Mytilus edulis: one gene and its partner. The protein of the gene in region 1 binds, or shares a complex with, the protein of each later gene. Links are inferred from orthologs where the notes say so. Each region holds a gene or a part of one and is shown on either strand. Other genes may lie near its edges.

Evidence for each region.
Region 2: nuclear inhibitor of protein phosphatase 1-like (region 1) and splicing factor C9orf78 homolog share a complex: the UniProt entries of both Homo sapiens proteins name them as parts of the spliceosome. The link is inferred for Mytilus edulis from reciprocal best matches to the Homo sapiens genes PPP1R8 and C9orf78.

The regions. Positions count from the first base shown.
Region 1 is NC_092344.1:126,236,376-126,243,993, forward strand, and holds the start of nuclear inhibitor of protein phosphatase 1-like, read left to right. Parts: upstream 1-4,582; 5' UTR 4,583-4,641; coding exon 4,642-4,709; intron 4,710-7,618. UniProt on the Homo sapiens protein: Inhibitor subunit of the major nuclear protein phosphatase-1 (PP-1). It has RNA-binding activity but does not cleave RNA and may target PP-1 to RNA-associated substrates. May also be involved in pre-mRNA splicing.
Region 2 is NC_092345.1:81,922,537-81,930,624, forward strand, and holds the start of splicing factor C9orf78 homolog, read left to right. Parts: upstream 1-4,936; 5' UTR 4,937-5,011; coding exon 5,012-5,109; intron 5,110-8,088. UniProt on the Homo sapiens protein: Plays a role in pre-mRNA splicing by promoting usage of the upstream 3'-splice site at alternative NAGNAG splice sites; these are sites featuring alternative acceptor motifs separated by only a few nucleotides. May also modulate exon inclusion events.

The DNA of each region.
Region 1 (7,618 bases):
CATAGTCTTCAACAGAAAAATTTCCGTAAGATGTGCGCTGGTTAAAACATTTGAATTTTAGCTTTAGATGACTGATAATTTTATGGTCTGCTATTTAGACAAAGTTTACAGATACAAATTTGAAATATCATACTCAAAAGGGTCGCTGATGCCATGTCGAATACCTTAAAACGAAAAGGATTTGTGACGTTTTTGGCACCGATTTGTACAGTTATTATTTGTAAAAGAGCAACAACTCGACTTTGGTTAAAGGTATGATACATTTAGAGAAAACTTATTTAGTAGGATATTAAGATTGTTCTGATTCTACGGAACATACGAAGGCATGTATTAATTATGCAGATTTTGGATTTTCATTTCTCACGATGGAGAAAATTGAAGACAATTTTGCAAACGATATATTGTCAGATGGTTGAATGAAAACAAATATACGGCTGATGTGAAATATTTCTTAAATTTTAGAAGATAAAGATAAGAGAAGATAAAGATAAATGATAGTTTATAAAAGTATCACATATTGATCTACAATAAAATTACAAACCAAAATCATAAAAAAAAGGATCAATACCCAGCCTATAAAGACTTACGAGACACTGTATACAAACAAAGGCTATTTCAGTTATACTGAAGGAAAATGTTTATAAAAAATAAAATCTGGTATGAATGCAAACCATGCCACGGTTCAAATCAATAAATGAAAAAAACATGTATGACAACAACCAACGAGATACCTCATTTTCCTATATTAAAAAAAAACACACACAAGTAATATTATTATTCTCATGATTCAATCCACAGGCAACTGTCTCAGAATTTTTTTTCCTATATACATTAATATATCATTAAGGTACCAATAGGGAAACAAAATTGGAGACAAGTGCCTGTGATTAAATCACATGTAAAAGCCTAATTTAGGTAAATTACAGGTGAAATCGCGAAAACGTAATACCATTTCTTAGAGCAAATGTAAGGCTTGTCATTTTCAAATTCGCTAAAAGTAGGTCGCTCATAATCAGAGGTTTGATATAATGCGTGATATACTTGTAGTATACTTATTTCAATTGAGAATTATTTTTTAGCGAATTTTAACATTTGAAACAAAAATAGTACTTTCAAACTTTAGGGAAGATCTCTTGAAAATAGAATACTCTACCAGAAGTCATTATTATAATGTATAAATCAAAACATGACCTGACACCAACATATTTATCCAATCGTATTGTGACTACAAATAGTAACAATCGTACAATACTTTTATTAGCAGATAATTGTATTTTCCCTAAATTAAATACAAAATAATTATACAAATCAAGTTTTTCCGGCTTTTCTTTTCATAAAACTTAGTGTGGAATTCACTATCCATTGAAATTAGTAAATAAAGTATATCTGCAATCAATTACTCTTACAAGTCTTTTTCTAAAGTGTAAAATTTATAAGCTACGCCACAATGTATACCGTATAGGTGGGTTTTTTTTTTGTTTTTTTTTGTTTGTTTGTTTTTGTTTGTTTTTGTGTTTTATTATTGTTATATATATTTGTGTTAATATACATCTATTGTTTATATGTGTGTAATAAGGTTATAAGATTAATTATGTTTACTTAATTTTGTTCATGTAGTTGCTATTGTATGTAGAGAGCCTTATTGAAAATTGGTTTAATGCAAACTTGATGAGTTACTCTCTTTAAAAAAGATATTATTATTATGTCACCCTGACGGAGGTCGGGTGACATATTGTTATTGTTCCAAATTTTTATTTTTTTTAAATTTTTTTTATTATTAATAATGATTATTATTTCACTCTTTTTGTCCAGACTATTTCTCGGAATTGTATGGACCAATGATGATTGATGGAACTTTATCATAATGTTAACCCCCATGTGTAGATGTGCAATCGGGGGCTGGCACTTTAAAGATGGCTGCCGTTGTCATGGAAATCGAAACTTGTGAATGTGAAAAATCGGAAAGTCTTCCAAACTGATTGAAGCGTTGTGGAATAAAATTATAATTATTATCTGTCTGTATTGGTACCTGTATGTGTACGTTGAAGACACAAATTCTGACTTTTACTCAACGGGAGAGAAAGACACCTATTAACGGTGTTGGTGAGCAGCCTTGAAGCTCTCAACTGTATCTGCGCATACAATACGGTCTTCCAGTTGGTTCCAGTGTAGTATGCTCTTGACAAAGATAGAGTTCTTATATGGATCGGTGCTGCTAGGAATAGTTTCTAGTGCCTTTAGAATTGTTCTTCACTGAATTTGTCACTATATTGGCACTTACAAAATTGTCAAATGTTTTGGGTTTGATTTTCCTCTTAGGTTTACTTTTAACAAGAAAATCGTCGGGATTAAGAGCTGAGACCAACACCTCAACCACTTTGTACAGAAATACCAGCCGCTGACTTGTTCTTCTCGTTTGTAGGTTGTCTAGTTCCAACTCGGCTAGTATTTTGGTTACCGACCCCTCTTCTCTAAACCTATAGTCGCCTGTAATGAATCTAGCTGCTCTGCATTGTATACTTTCAATTGATTTATATCATGCTGTGTATATGGTATCATATTATGGCACCATATTCCATAGTTGATCGTACTAATGATACATATGCGGTCATTTTGCAATCTTTTGGGCAGAAGTGTAGATTTCTTCTTAGAAAGCCGAGTGTGTAATTGGCTTTCTTGGCTACATTTGAGATATGCGTGGTCCATTTTATGTCTTCTGATATTTGTAAGCCTAGGTATGGGTTGCGTTGGACTTGTTGTAGTACATGTCCGTCTAGGCTGTACATCATCTGGCTTTTGTTCTTGATACTAAGTATATAGCACTTCTTTGCATTGAAGCGAATGCCCCAGTTTTTGGTCCATACTTCTAGGTTTTGGAGGTCTCGCTGTAGGAGTGTGTTGTCATGTTGACTATTTCTGTTCCTGTACAGGAGGCAGTCATCTGCGAAAAGTCTTCACAGAAGATTGTACTGAATCTGGAAGGTCGTTAATGTGGCAGAGGAAGAGAAGGGGTCCTAGTTCTGTACCTTGTGTTACACCGGAGTCAACTGAAGCTTCTTCTGATTCCTCCCCATCTACGACAGCTTTCATTTTCCTTTGGGTTAGGAACATCTCCAACCATTTGTTTAGTGGTCCTCTTATACCGTATTCATTCATTTTGTGCAGCAGTTTGTAGTGTGGCACAGTGTCAAATGCTTTGGAAATGTCCAGGATATCTACATCAATTTGTTTCCTGCGTCAAAGGCTTTCATGAAGTCATGTAGTGTGACTAGCAGTTGGGTTGCACAGGAATAGCCTGACCTGAAGCTATGGTTTAGTGATGTAAGTACTCTGTGCTTCTCTAGATGATTATTTTTTTTAAAGTATATGTCTACAGATAATATGTTCCAGTAGCTTGCATGGTACAGATGTTAGTGATACTGGTCTGTAGTTTTCTGGTGCATGTTTATCTCCCTTTTTGAAGACACTTGATATATTTACGTTTAGCCAGTCTCTTGGTAGTGTACCAGTGTTGATGGATTTTGGGAATATCATTGTAAGTCCAGGTGCTAGTTGTTTTGAGCATTCTTTCAATATACGGTTTGGTATGCCGTCTGGTCCTGATGCCTTGGATGTATTTATTTTTTTTCAGCAGCTTTTCGACTTCATCTGGTCTTATGTCTAAAGGCAGTATTGTGCTTTTTATATGCTTTGATGTTGTCGGCAGAGTTTTGTCTTTGGTTTTCTTTGCCTGTTGATATAGCCTTGTTTTCTTTTAAAACATTTTCCTGATTTTATGATTGATCCAGGGTAGACTGGTTTTAGATTGGATGAGTTTTGATGGTATATGGTTGTCAAGGTTCGAAAAAAGGTCTGTCTTGAACTTGTCCCATAATTCCTGTACTGTGGCGCCTGTATGGTACATTTCAATGGTGTTGGTTGAAAGGATATATATAGTCAGGTCTTTGTGTAGATCTTCCCATTTTGCTTTGGAGTATATGTAGCATTTGCGTGGCTTCTTACTCTGATAATGTGGTTTTATGTCGCAGTCTGTTACAATCATATCGTGGTCAGATTTTCCTGGAGCATTAGAAGATGTTTTGATAAGTGACGGGTTTGAAGTGAAGTTAGTCAGCACTATGTCCAGTAAGTTATTGCTTCTTGTTGGTGTTTCGTGTATCTGTGTTAGTGAGTGTGATATGATAACTTCCATTAGAGCTCTTTGGATTTCCTTGTCTTGTGCATTTTGGTTTGCGGACATGGTGTTCCAGTTTATGTCTGGGCAGTTGAAATCTCCAGTTGGTATGATGGTTTGATTTTTGTTTGAAATATGGTCTAATGATTTATCTAATTCCTTTATAAATGTGTTCCATGTTCCGGTGTCAGTGGCATATAGAATGAGCCTTATTATTATTATTATTATTATTATTATTATTATTATTATTATTATTATTATTATTATTATTATTATTATTATTATTATTATTATTATTATTATTATTATTATTATTATTATTATTATTTCCGCAATATAGTTAAATTGGGGCGGGTTGATAAGAGTGGGACGATTTTTTTAAAAAGAGGGGCGAGTTGGTGAAAAAGCGGAGCTGGTGTGGGTCGATTTTCCAATGGGGCGAGTTGATCACAGCTTACTATAAAAACATGGCGAAGAATCAACACATCCAACAGAATGAAGGCCCGCTGGTCAATAATTTCGAAGTACCGTCATGGTGTGTAACTAATAACGTATTTGAAATTGTGACTGAAACATATGTTATTCATTATTTATGCATATAAATTTAATTTTGACAGTGCATAACATAAAGAGGCCAAACCGAGTGTCTGTAATTCACTGTTTATTCAGTCTCGGGCATTTCTCTTTGTAATTATATACTTTTTTTAAAGGTTCATCATAACAAACGGACAAATATGGCTGTATTTACATTCCAAAAATTACTCTGAGTACAGACTTACCTGTAAAGTTTGAAAAGTTTTAATGCCTAGCATCCATTAGATATAATAAAGTTAAATGCATTTTGTGTTTCAGAAAGATAAAATCTCTTTTGGATTTTGATAGGCATTTTTTTTCCTTCATGCAAAAGGTTTGAAAATTGACCAAGTTGTGGTACAACTATGAGATGCTCCCTCAGGTAAAAAAACGGTTTGTATTGTTTTCACTGTCCTTAATTGACATGGACACCAGTAGTCCGATTACTCTGACGTCCAACGGCTGTTTTGCCAGACAAGCTGGGGCCGTGGGACGTCAGAGCTCGTCCCATATCAAAACGTGTATATTTGCCCACCCAAAATAGATGCGCTGCTTCGTTGCTTCTGGTGCCGACTGACGGCCTTGGAATTATATAAATCGGGCATCAATCTGTTCATTTTTCATTTATCTCTTCATTTATGTTAGCTGCGGAACCGTAGCTCTTATGTCCTTATGTTATTTTTTGACTATTTGCGGACCATAGAGCTACAGATTTTTCCTATTACAAAATGTTCGGAATTGCGACCCAGGTTCAGGTCGCACTTATTTCTCAAAAAAAATATTGTTTATAATCCATGCAAAACTTGTCAATATATATAGTTCGTTTCGTTAGATATTTTTCTAGGATATGACGTACCTATTTATGTTTGAATATTCATTTCCTTAACACTATTATCTAATTATTTCCATTTGTATACATTCTCCGCCTATTTTATTCGGTCATATTGAATCTCTCCGTGACTAGGACACCAGGTATCTTCACAACTTTGGGTGAGTTAAAGAGTTTATCTGAGTCAGTGAGTGGACAGTATCAAAGTAATTCAGGTGTTTGTTTATATTTGCACCTTCTGCAGAAAGGAAAAAAAAATGCCCATCAAAAACCAAGAAAGATTTTATCTTTTTTAAACACAAAATGCATTTAACTTTTATATATCTAGTGGATGCTAGGCATTAAAACTTTCCAAACAGCACAGGTAAGTCTGAACACAGAGTAGTTTTTGAGGTGAAAATACGGCCATATTTGTCCATTTGTTATGATGAACCTTAATTACACTGGTCACTTTTTCTGATATAATTATGTTTCGTCTGAAATGTGAAGCTACTCATAAACATTTGACAAAAATAGTTGTGTTAAGTGTTTACACAATATACATGTACTACTCTGTACAAACAAACCTTAAAACTGAGAAACCACATCTACTTACAGTAACCTGTTTGGTCTACAACTGGGGCTTGTATCATAGTGTAGTGACTTAAGTATACTAATAGATATATAAGAGTGTCGCTGAGTACTCTAAGGTTGAGAGTTACAAGGGTCTGTGTACAGCACCAAATTCCAGGCTCCTACCATCAGGAAACACGTCTGTTAGCTTGGACGTCTATATTAACTCTAAGGGAACTCCTGACCATTGGGAGCTCTCTTGACTAATGCATATTGTGTTTGATTGTACGTAACCGGCGTACTCTACAATAGATGCATTTAGTCTGGAATATGTCAACTGGTATGCATTCTAGACTACATGTTCAAGTCAAAAGTCGCCCAGGTAACACTATATTTAACAATCTGATCTACAGTACATGTACATCTATATGTTGACCTAGTACAAATAATTATGACGTCTTGTAAGGCTATTGTAATTTTTTTCTTTGACGCCTTACTTCGAAGTAAGAAGAAAAAAATTATAATAGCCTTTCAAGACGTCATAATTATTTAGACTATATGTTGACCATGTGATGTTATAGATTTAAATCAGGTTACTGCATCCCAAACTGTGGAACATGTATACAATTCTAGTTTTGATAAAATGCAATCATCACTGATCATAGGATTGAACGTTGATTTCAATTTAGACTTGTATGTATCTATATATAGCTACATTTTGTACATTAATTACCTATATTGTTCTTGACAGTGATCGGTTTTTTTTACCAACCACAAGCATAATGCCAAAAATCTTCAACAAGTCATGTGTAAAAAATGTAAAAAAATGCGAGTTCAAATTATTGGGATTACATGCAATGACATGTATTACCCTGTCACATTTTTTGCATTAATAAAAGCATCGCAATAATTTCTGAATTTACTGAAATGTTTCTGTTAATATATTTAGCTTTTGTTGTAAATTTGAAATTTTGAAATGAAAAGTAATACAGTCCTAATTTTAGAGAAAATGTTCCATTATCTGTTTTCACAGATTGTTGTCTCATATATTATGAGGAATATTAATTTTTGTCGAGCCTGCAACTTTTGTTGCAGAAAGCTCAACATAGGGATAGTGATCCGGCGTTGGCGGCGGCGTTGGCTAACTTTTTAAAAGCTTTATATTTTAGAAGGTGGAAGACCTGGATGCTTCATACTTTGTATATACATATAGATGCCTCATGTTACGAAATTTCCATCAGTCACATGTCAAATGTCCTTGGCCTCATTTTCATGGTTCAGTGACCACTTGAAAAAAATGTCAAATGTCCTTGACCTTATTTTCATGGTTCAGTGACCACTTGAAAAAAAAGTTCAGATTTTTTGTAATGTTGAATTCTCTCTTATTATAAGTAATAGGATAATTATATTAGGTATGTGCGTACCTTGCAAGGTCCTCATGCCCGTCAGACAGTTTTCACTTGACCTCAACCTCATTTCATGGATCAGTG
Region 2 (8,088 bases), on another chromosome or scaffold:
GCTCACCTTGGTCTATGAGCATATTGAACAAAGGGCACAGATGGATTCATGACAAAATTGTGTTTTGGTATTGGTGATGTGTTTGTAGATCTTACTTTACTGAACATTCTTGCTGCTTACAATTATCTCAATCTATAATGAACTTGGCCCAGTAGATACAGTGGAAAATATTTTGTAAAAATTCACAAAATTTTGAAAGTTGTTAAAAATAGACTATAAAGGGCAATAACTCCTTAAGGGGTCAATTGATCAATTTGGTCATGTTGACGTATTTTTAGGTCTTACATTGCTGTATACAGTTTATCTCTATCTATAATAATATTCAAAATAATTACCAAAAGCTGCAAAACAAGTTTCTCAAAATTGCCATTTCAGAGACAGCAACCTAACAACGGGTTGTCCGATTCATCTGAAAATTTCCTGGCAGATAGATCTTTACCTAATGATCAATTTTATCCTGTCAGATTTGCTCTAAATGCTTTGTTTTCAGAGATATGGGCCAAAAACTGCATTTTACCCTATGTACTATATTTAGCAATGTCGGCCATCTTGGTTCGCGGGCGGGGTCATCGAATACACTTTAAAATAAGATACCCTAATGATGATTGTGGACAAGATTGGTGAAATTTGTCTTAGTAGTTTCAGAGAAGAAGATTTTTGTAAATAGTTATCACAGGTACCAGGATTATAATTTAGTACGCCAGATGCGCGTTTTGTCTTCATAAGACTCATCAGTGACGCTCATATCAAAATATTTATAAAGCCAAATTAGTACAAAGTTGAAGAGCACAGACGATAGAAAATTCCAAAGATTTACAAAAATTCCAAAAAGTTGTGCCAAATAAGGCTAAGGTAATCTATGCCTGGGATAAGAAAATCCTTAGTTGTTCGAAAACCAGGATTACAATTTAGTACGTCAGACGCGCGTTTTGTCTTCATAAGACTAATCATTCTAATGCAACAAATTTGTAACATTCATTTTGATTGGATAACGTCACATATTTACATTGTCAATTGATGCTATGGGACGTACGCGCAAGCGGCTGCGCAGACGTCATATGGCAAACTTTAAATACATTTTTTAACGTTGTTTTCAGTCAGTTTCATTAGAATGGAGATAACAATATTGTCTAACGCGTCGCCAGTACACTTAATTTGCGACCATCAAATCCTCAATTGATGCCGTCGGAGCTTAAAATACAATACAGTTATCTCCTAATTCTAATGCAACAAATTTGTAACGTTCATTTTGATTGGATAACGTCACATATTTACACGCGTTTCATCTACATAAGACTCATCAGTGACGCTCATATCAAAATATCTACAAAGTCAAACTAGTACAAAGTTGAAGAGCATTGAGGATACAAAATTCCAAAGATTTACAAAAATTTACAAAAATTTACAAAAATTTACCAAAAAAATGTTAAAAATTGACTAAAGGGCAATAAATCCTTAAGGGGTCAGCTGACCATTTTGGTCATGTTGACTTATTTGTAGACCTTACTTTGCTGAACATTATTGCTGCAAACAGTTTATCTCTATCTATAATAATATTCAAGATAATAACCAAAAACGGCAAAGTTTTCTACAAATTCAGGGGCAGCAACATAACAACGGGTTGTCCGATTTGTCTGAAAATTTCAGGGCAGATAGATTTGACCTAATGAAATGCAAGATTTGCTCTAAATGCTTTGGTTACAGAGATATAAGACAAAATCTACAGTTTACCCCTATGTTCTATTTTGAGCCATGGCGGCCATCTTGGTTGGTTGGCCGGGTCACCGGACACATTTTTAAAACTAGATACCTCAATAATGAGTGTGGCCAAGTTTGGATAAATATGTCCCAGTAGTTTCAGAGAAGAAGATTTTTGTAAAAGTTAACGACGACGGACGACGGACGCCAAGTGATGATAAAAGCCAGGCCAGGTGAGATAAAAACATTTGTCGAAGCCGTTTATAGCTGACTATATGGTATTGGCATTTCTCATTGTCGACGACCGTATGGCAGGTAACCATAGGAATGCACTTCATTTAAGAACTCTGTTGGCTAGTTGTCTCAGGGGCAATCCTTTCACATATATCTTATTTCATACTAGAATAAGAAACAACTACGTTCAGATTTCATTTCAAATACACATACATGTACATGTATGGCTCATTCAAGATATAATAAAATGTGTCTTGAGTAATCAACAGAAAGCTCCAAACCAAACCACACAATAATTTCGATTAAATTAAAAATGTAATTTATCGATCAAGACACAGAGATCAATTTATCAAAATCTAATACACTGAATCGTTTGGGGTAAACAACCATCACAAATCAGAAAACACTTCATAATCTGATCTGTTGCTGTTTATATTCCAAATTAGAGTATTGATTGAGCTGAAAAAAGTATATATTTATAGTGTACTGTAACCAAAGGAGAAAGTGGTCAAAGTCTTCTACAGGAAATTAAAATATAAAAATATACAAACCTGATATTAAGAATCCATTCCAAATCCAATAGTATTGCTGTACCGGAAGTAGCTGAGTTTGTTATTTGCTTGCCAAAACGTGTTAAAGTTAATGTGATATTAAAGCCGTCTTTTGATGTAGTGTTGTATTTAATTATGTTTAGTGAGATGGTATATATACAACATTTTTAATCGATTTGGAATTGCCTTTATTTTTAAAATCATATTATCTTGAAATCGACATTTGCAGGTAATTTCTAAGTGGAATATCGATCTGACCGTTACCTGTGTAATATTGTCAAAGTCTAGCATGAATAATTCATTTGGGACAGTTTATATAATTCATCACAATTCCAATATTTGACATCTGCCTAGTAAATAACTCGACCTTTATCGGACAATACGTATATCAGTTATATATGTTGTTTTAAAACACATATTTGAAATAGTATTTTTTCTATATTGACAAAGTTGCTGTCAGTGATAGAATGATCTAGAATGGGTTTTCCCAAACATCGCATTTGTCATGTCATAAACAACATATCAAATAATTATAAGTGTTTTGGAGTTTTGGAGTGTGTTTTTGTTTTACTTTTATGAATTGCATTTGACTAAGAAGATCTGACTGGAATATAACACTGTCTATTACTACAGTTTATGAACTAAAACCATATAGAATCGTCTGACGGTCTGCTTCAATATTATAGACCATTATACGACAATTGGCGCAAACACATTATGGAATCTTGTTGATAAATAATGAGAATTGTATAAGTTTTGTTTTATGTATTGTCCATTTTGTCATTATGATTTTGTGGTTTCAAATTTAAAATCCAAACCTTAACTTCATATAGAAACAGTTTATTTCTGGATTTGTGTCAGCTATTTTCTTCCTATTAATGCTCTAGATTTAAAGCTAACCGAATTGACATTTTAGCAGTAACCTTTTCATCTGCTGTTGCATATCATAATTTTTAAGCGAATATTATAGAACAATTCAGATAAATCTGTACTGAGTATTCAGCTAAGATTATGAAAACTTTACATATATAAGCGGTAACAGGCATGTTATAGACTAGCTAGCTCTACGTACACCAGCAATGCCCACGCCACACTAGTCGAACAGGACAAAAAACAACTACGAAATATAAGTTCTCCAGCAAGGAAATGATAGTAATGCCATCGTATTGTTCAGGAGAATTTTTGTTAAAGTTTATGTTAAATAGACTCAATGTAGATAACTGATTGGACAGTCAAGCTTCAAACATTTTAAATGCTCTGACAAAAGCAAAATGATTTTCACGAAACTTCAAAGGTTTTAATTCCTTCGCAATAAATGTTTGTAAGCCCATAACCTGGGATAAAACTTTAAAACACACTAATCTATACAAATCAGTTCAATATGACATCGAAGATCCGTAAAAAACACTATGCAAGTGAAAATAAAAACAACATACATGAATTACCGAATTAAGAGTACTCGCCTTCACTGGAGCCGGTCAAGTTCAAATCTCTAGTTCAAATAATAAATAAACATCTGGTGTTCCCCCAAGGAACAGTTAATGCCCTATTCTGTTCCGTGTGTATATATCAAACACGAGAACACTTGAGTTTTTTTTTTTGGGGGGGGGGGGGGGGGGTAGATCACACCATAATTTGCAAATCAATACGAAAATAAAAAGACCGTTAGATTCACTGCCAGATTTGCCCATGTCATTCCATCCAGAGAAGTGTTCGGTCATTGAGATAACAACCAAGAAAACCCCATTAGAATTCAACTATACCCTTCAGCAACATTTGCTGCAAAAAGAAATATCCACAAATGATCTTGGCTAAACAATCCTTACTGAGCCCAACCTAAAATGGAACGCATCCGTGATCTTCTACAAAATCATAGATCATATTGTAGTCATATACCCGACAGATCTACTTAGTACGCAATCTGACACAATAAAATGTCAACATTCACACATGTATACCAATATCTGTTCTCAACAAACATCTAAACACTTAAATATGATCTATAGTAAAAAAAAAACAGAAGAAAAGGGAACTTTATGCATCGGTTGGAATTTTTATTTCATTTTGTATATATTTAACTGTAAATAGAAATTAGATCCCACGCACCCGCTGGCTTGTGGTATTAGTGCCCGGGCACCTTATCATCAGTATATTGGTGGTGTGCTGAAATATAAAGAAGAAGAATAAATTAAGTGTCGTCGATCACGAGCAATCATGCACGGTATCTAAACCATGTTATAATATTGTAAAAAAAATATAGAATAATCTGTTGATATTTGCCGCTGGTCGATAAATAACCACCATATTTTAATAATAACTATGCATTGACCTTCATTTATCTATATATCATTATTTTTCGTGAAAAATTCCTAAATATTAATTCAGAAAAAATACAATATTCGGAATAAAACCGTGTCCGATCCCATCCGTACAACTTTTATTGTGTTACATCGATTACCTCCCTTGTTAAAAACTAATAATGTTCGTATTTTTTTGCCAAGAAAGTTGACCTAAGTAAAGAAAGATAGATGGAGGTTTTTAAGAAGAAAAAATGTAGAGCAATCAGAAAAAGACGTCACTCATCAGAGAGCGATGACAATTCGAACGAGGATGCAGATGACATTGAGTAAATAATTAGTTCATAACAAATGGACAAAAAAATTTTGTTGGTGAATTTTTAGTCCGAGATTACTCTGACGTCCAACGGCTGTTTTGCCAGACAAGCTGGGGCCGTGGGACGTCAGAGCTCGTCCCATATCAAAAAGTGGATATTTGCCCACCCAAAATAGATGCGCTGCTTCGTTTTTGGTGCCGACTGACGGCCTTGGAATTATATAAATCGGGCAGCAATCTGTTCATTTTTCATTTATCTTTTCATTTATGTAAGTTTCACCTACCTGCCAACTTTCATTTTTCCATATTTTAACAGTTTTCACAGAGACCCATCGATTTCTGAATTTTGACTTTCACTAGTCTTTAGTCTTTAGTAAGTGTCCCAAATGACACTGTAAACACTTGTGTACGTTTCCTCTTTTGTAGTTTCTTCACATATGTAATGTTCACTCATGTACTTAATTGAAATTGTGGCTGCTGCTTAAAAAATTTTGACTTAATTTTGATATAGATTTATAGTGTTTTTTGCTGTATAGTGTTTTTGAATCTACCAGACTCCTTTAAATAATTTTCCAGATGGCACAATATCTCATTTCGATTGTCTCTATTAATTTCTTCTTCATCGATTCCTAATAAGGTGTCTAAATCCATGTGTATATTTCCTGTAATGAAGTAAATAGATGTTCTCATCCTCTCTCTAGCCTCCTCATAGTTAGAACAATGTAAAAGGTAGTGTTCTACAGTTTCTGGCTCTCCACAGGAACAGTTTTTGTCTGATGATGGTATAATTTTGGATTTATAATCATTTAGATCACAATAACCTGTTCTCAAACTAGAAGTAATTGAAAACGACCATTTGGATGGTAAATCTTTTGGTATTTTCTGACAGACTTTTTGATGATAGTTGTAATAATTTCTGCCACGTTGACTTGATTCCCATTGGTTTTGCCATTTTCTTAAAACACTTTCTCTTGCTGCACGTTTTATATCCTGCCTGGTTACTTCTGATGGTTCTTCTATTTTTTCAGCTTCTTTAGCTCCTTTTTTGGCCAGTGAATCAGCAATGTCATTTCCTTGGATATCAGCATGACCAGGTGTCCATTCAAAATTTAATGGAATTCCATTCATCTTTAATACTTTCATGTTTTTCTTAATTTCTCTTATGACTTTGATGTAATTCTCTGATTTCCAGTTTAAAGTTAAAATTCCAATTGAGGTCTGACTATCTGAAAAAAGTGTAATTGAGTCTGTGTTTTGTCTGTTTTCTGATATTAAAAAGTGGTCAACAACAAGTTTAATGGCGATCAGTTCTCCTAGTAGTATTGATCCTTTTTTGGATACAGCTTTACTAATTTCAATTTGTGGTTGATTATTTGATGGAAAGATGACAGCACCTGCTCCTACAGGGCCAGGACTACCAAGACAGGACCCATCAGTAAATGCTATACATGAATTTGCTGGAAGATGACTTAGTTTTTCCATTATTATGTGTTTTCCAACATTTTTTTGGTCTGTTAATCTTGATTTGGAATTTCCAAGGTTTTTCCAATAATCTGGAGGAGATTTATATCTTTGTATCCCATTAAACTGAAATTCTGCTTCTATACCATTTACATCAACACCTGTACATACCTTCATGTCTTCTGCCTGAAGAATCATTTTTCCCACTGGAGATACATATTTTTCAGGGATGTCAATTGTTTTCCAATCATCCAGGATTTGTTTTATTGGAATGGAGATATCATACGAAATAATTTTTGCAAGTGTACGAGTTGCAATTTCTTCTCTACGCAGATGTATTGGTAGGATTCCAGAAACTACTTCCAAAGTCTCTACACTTGATGTTGGGGTAACATTAAGGCATATAGCTAATCCCTTTCGTTGAATTTTGTTCAGTTTGTCTGTTATATTGGTTTCACAGGTCTGCCAAACACTACTTGCATATTCTAAGGTGGAAAGGACAATACTTTGGTAAATTTGAAGTAGAATTTTTGTAGAAATTTTTGCAACTCCTTTGATCATTCTAAGTAGGCTAATTGCTTTATGTGCCTTTTGTTCTACATTTTCGATGTGTTTGAGAAATAATAGTTTTTCATCTAACGTGACTCCTAATATTTTTGGATTACAGTTATATTTTAACAATTTACCTTCTAGTTGTAAATTCATTTTCTTTATTGGACCATTCCTTGAAAAGATACAATATTCTGTTTTCTCAATACTTAAATTAATTCTCCATTTTTTGGTCCAATCCTGGATTATGTTAAGATCCTTTTGTACCTGTTTCTCCATGTCATTCAAGTTCTTTCCATTTATCCATACATTACCATCATCAGCAAATTTGCACTTTTTACATGATAGGTTAGCAAAAATGTCTTTGATAAAGATATTAAAAAGAAGTGGAGCTATAACTGATCCTTGTGGGAGACCTATTTTGGTTTCAAACCAGCTTCCTTTATGGTTGTTAATCACACACCTTGCTTGTCTTTCCTTTAAAAAATTGTTAATCCAATTCCAGATGTTACCTTTAACACCGTTATCATAAAGTTTTGTTAGAAGTCCTTCCCTCCAAACACTGTTGTATGCTTTTTCAAGATCAATAAAGACTGCTAATATAAATTCGTTGTTATTGAAGGCATTAAAGATGTTTTGAGTTAAACTTAACAAGGCATTTTCAGTAGAGCGATAGTGGCGAAACCCTTCTTGTTCTGGATCCAATATGGAGTTGGTCTCTATATAACCTTCTAGTCTAGATGTTACTACTCTTTCCATAACTTTACCCAGTATACTTGTGAGACTAATTGGACGATATGAAGAAGGGTTATTATATGTTGACTTTCCCATTTTCCTTATAAATTTAACATTTGCTAGTTTCCAAGGTTTTGGAAGTTTTCCTTCTTCCCAAGATTTGTTAAACACATATGACAACACACTGTATAAGCTTTCATCTGCCTTCATTAATAATTCTGAAAAAATTTGATCAGGTCCAGGTGCT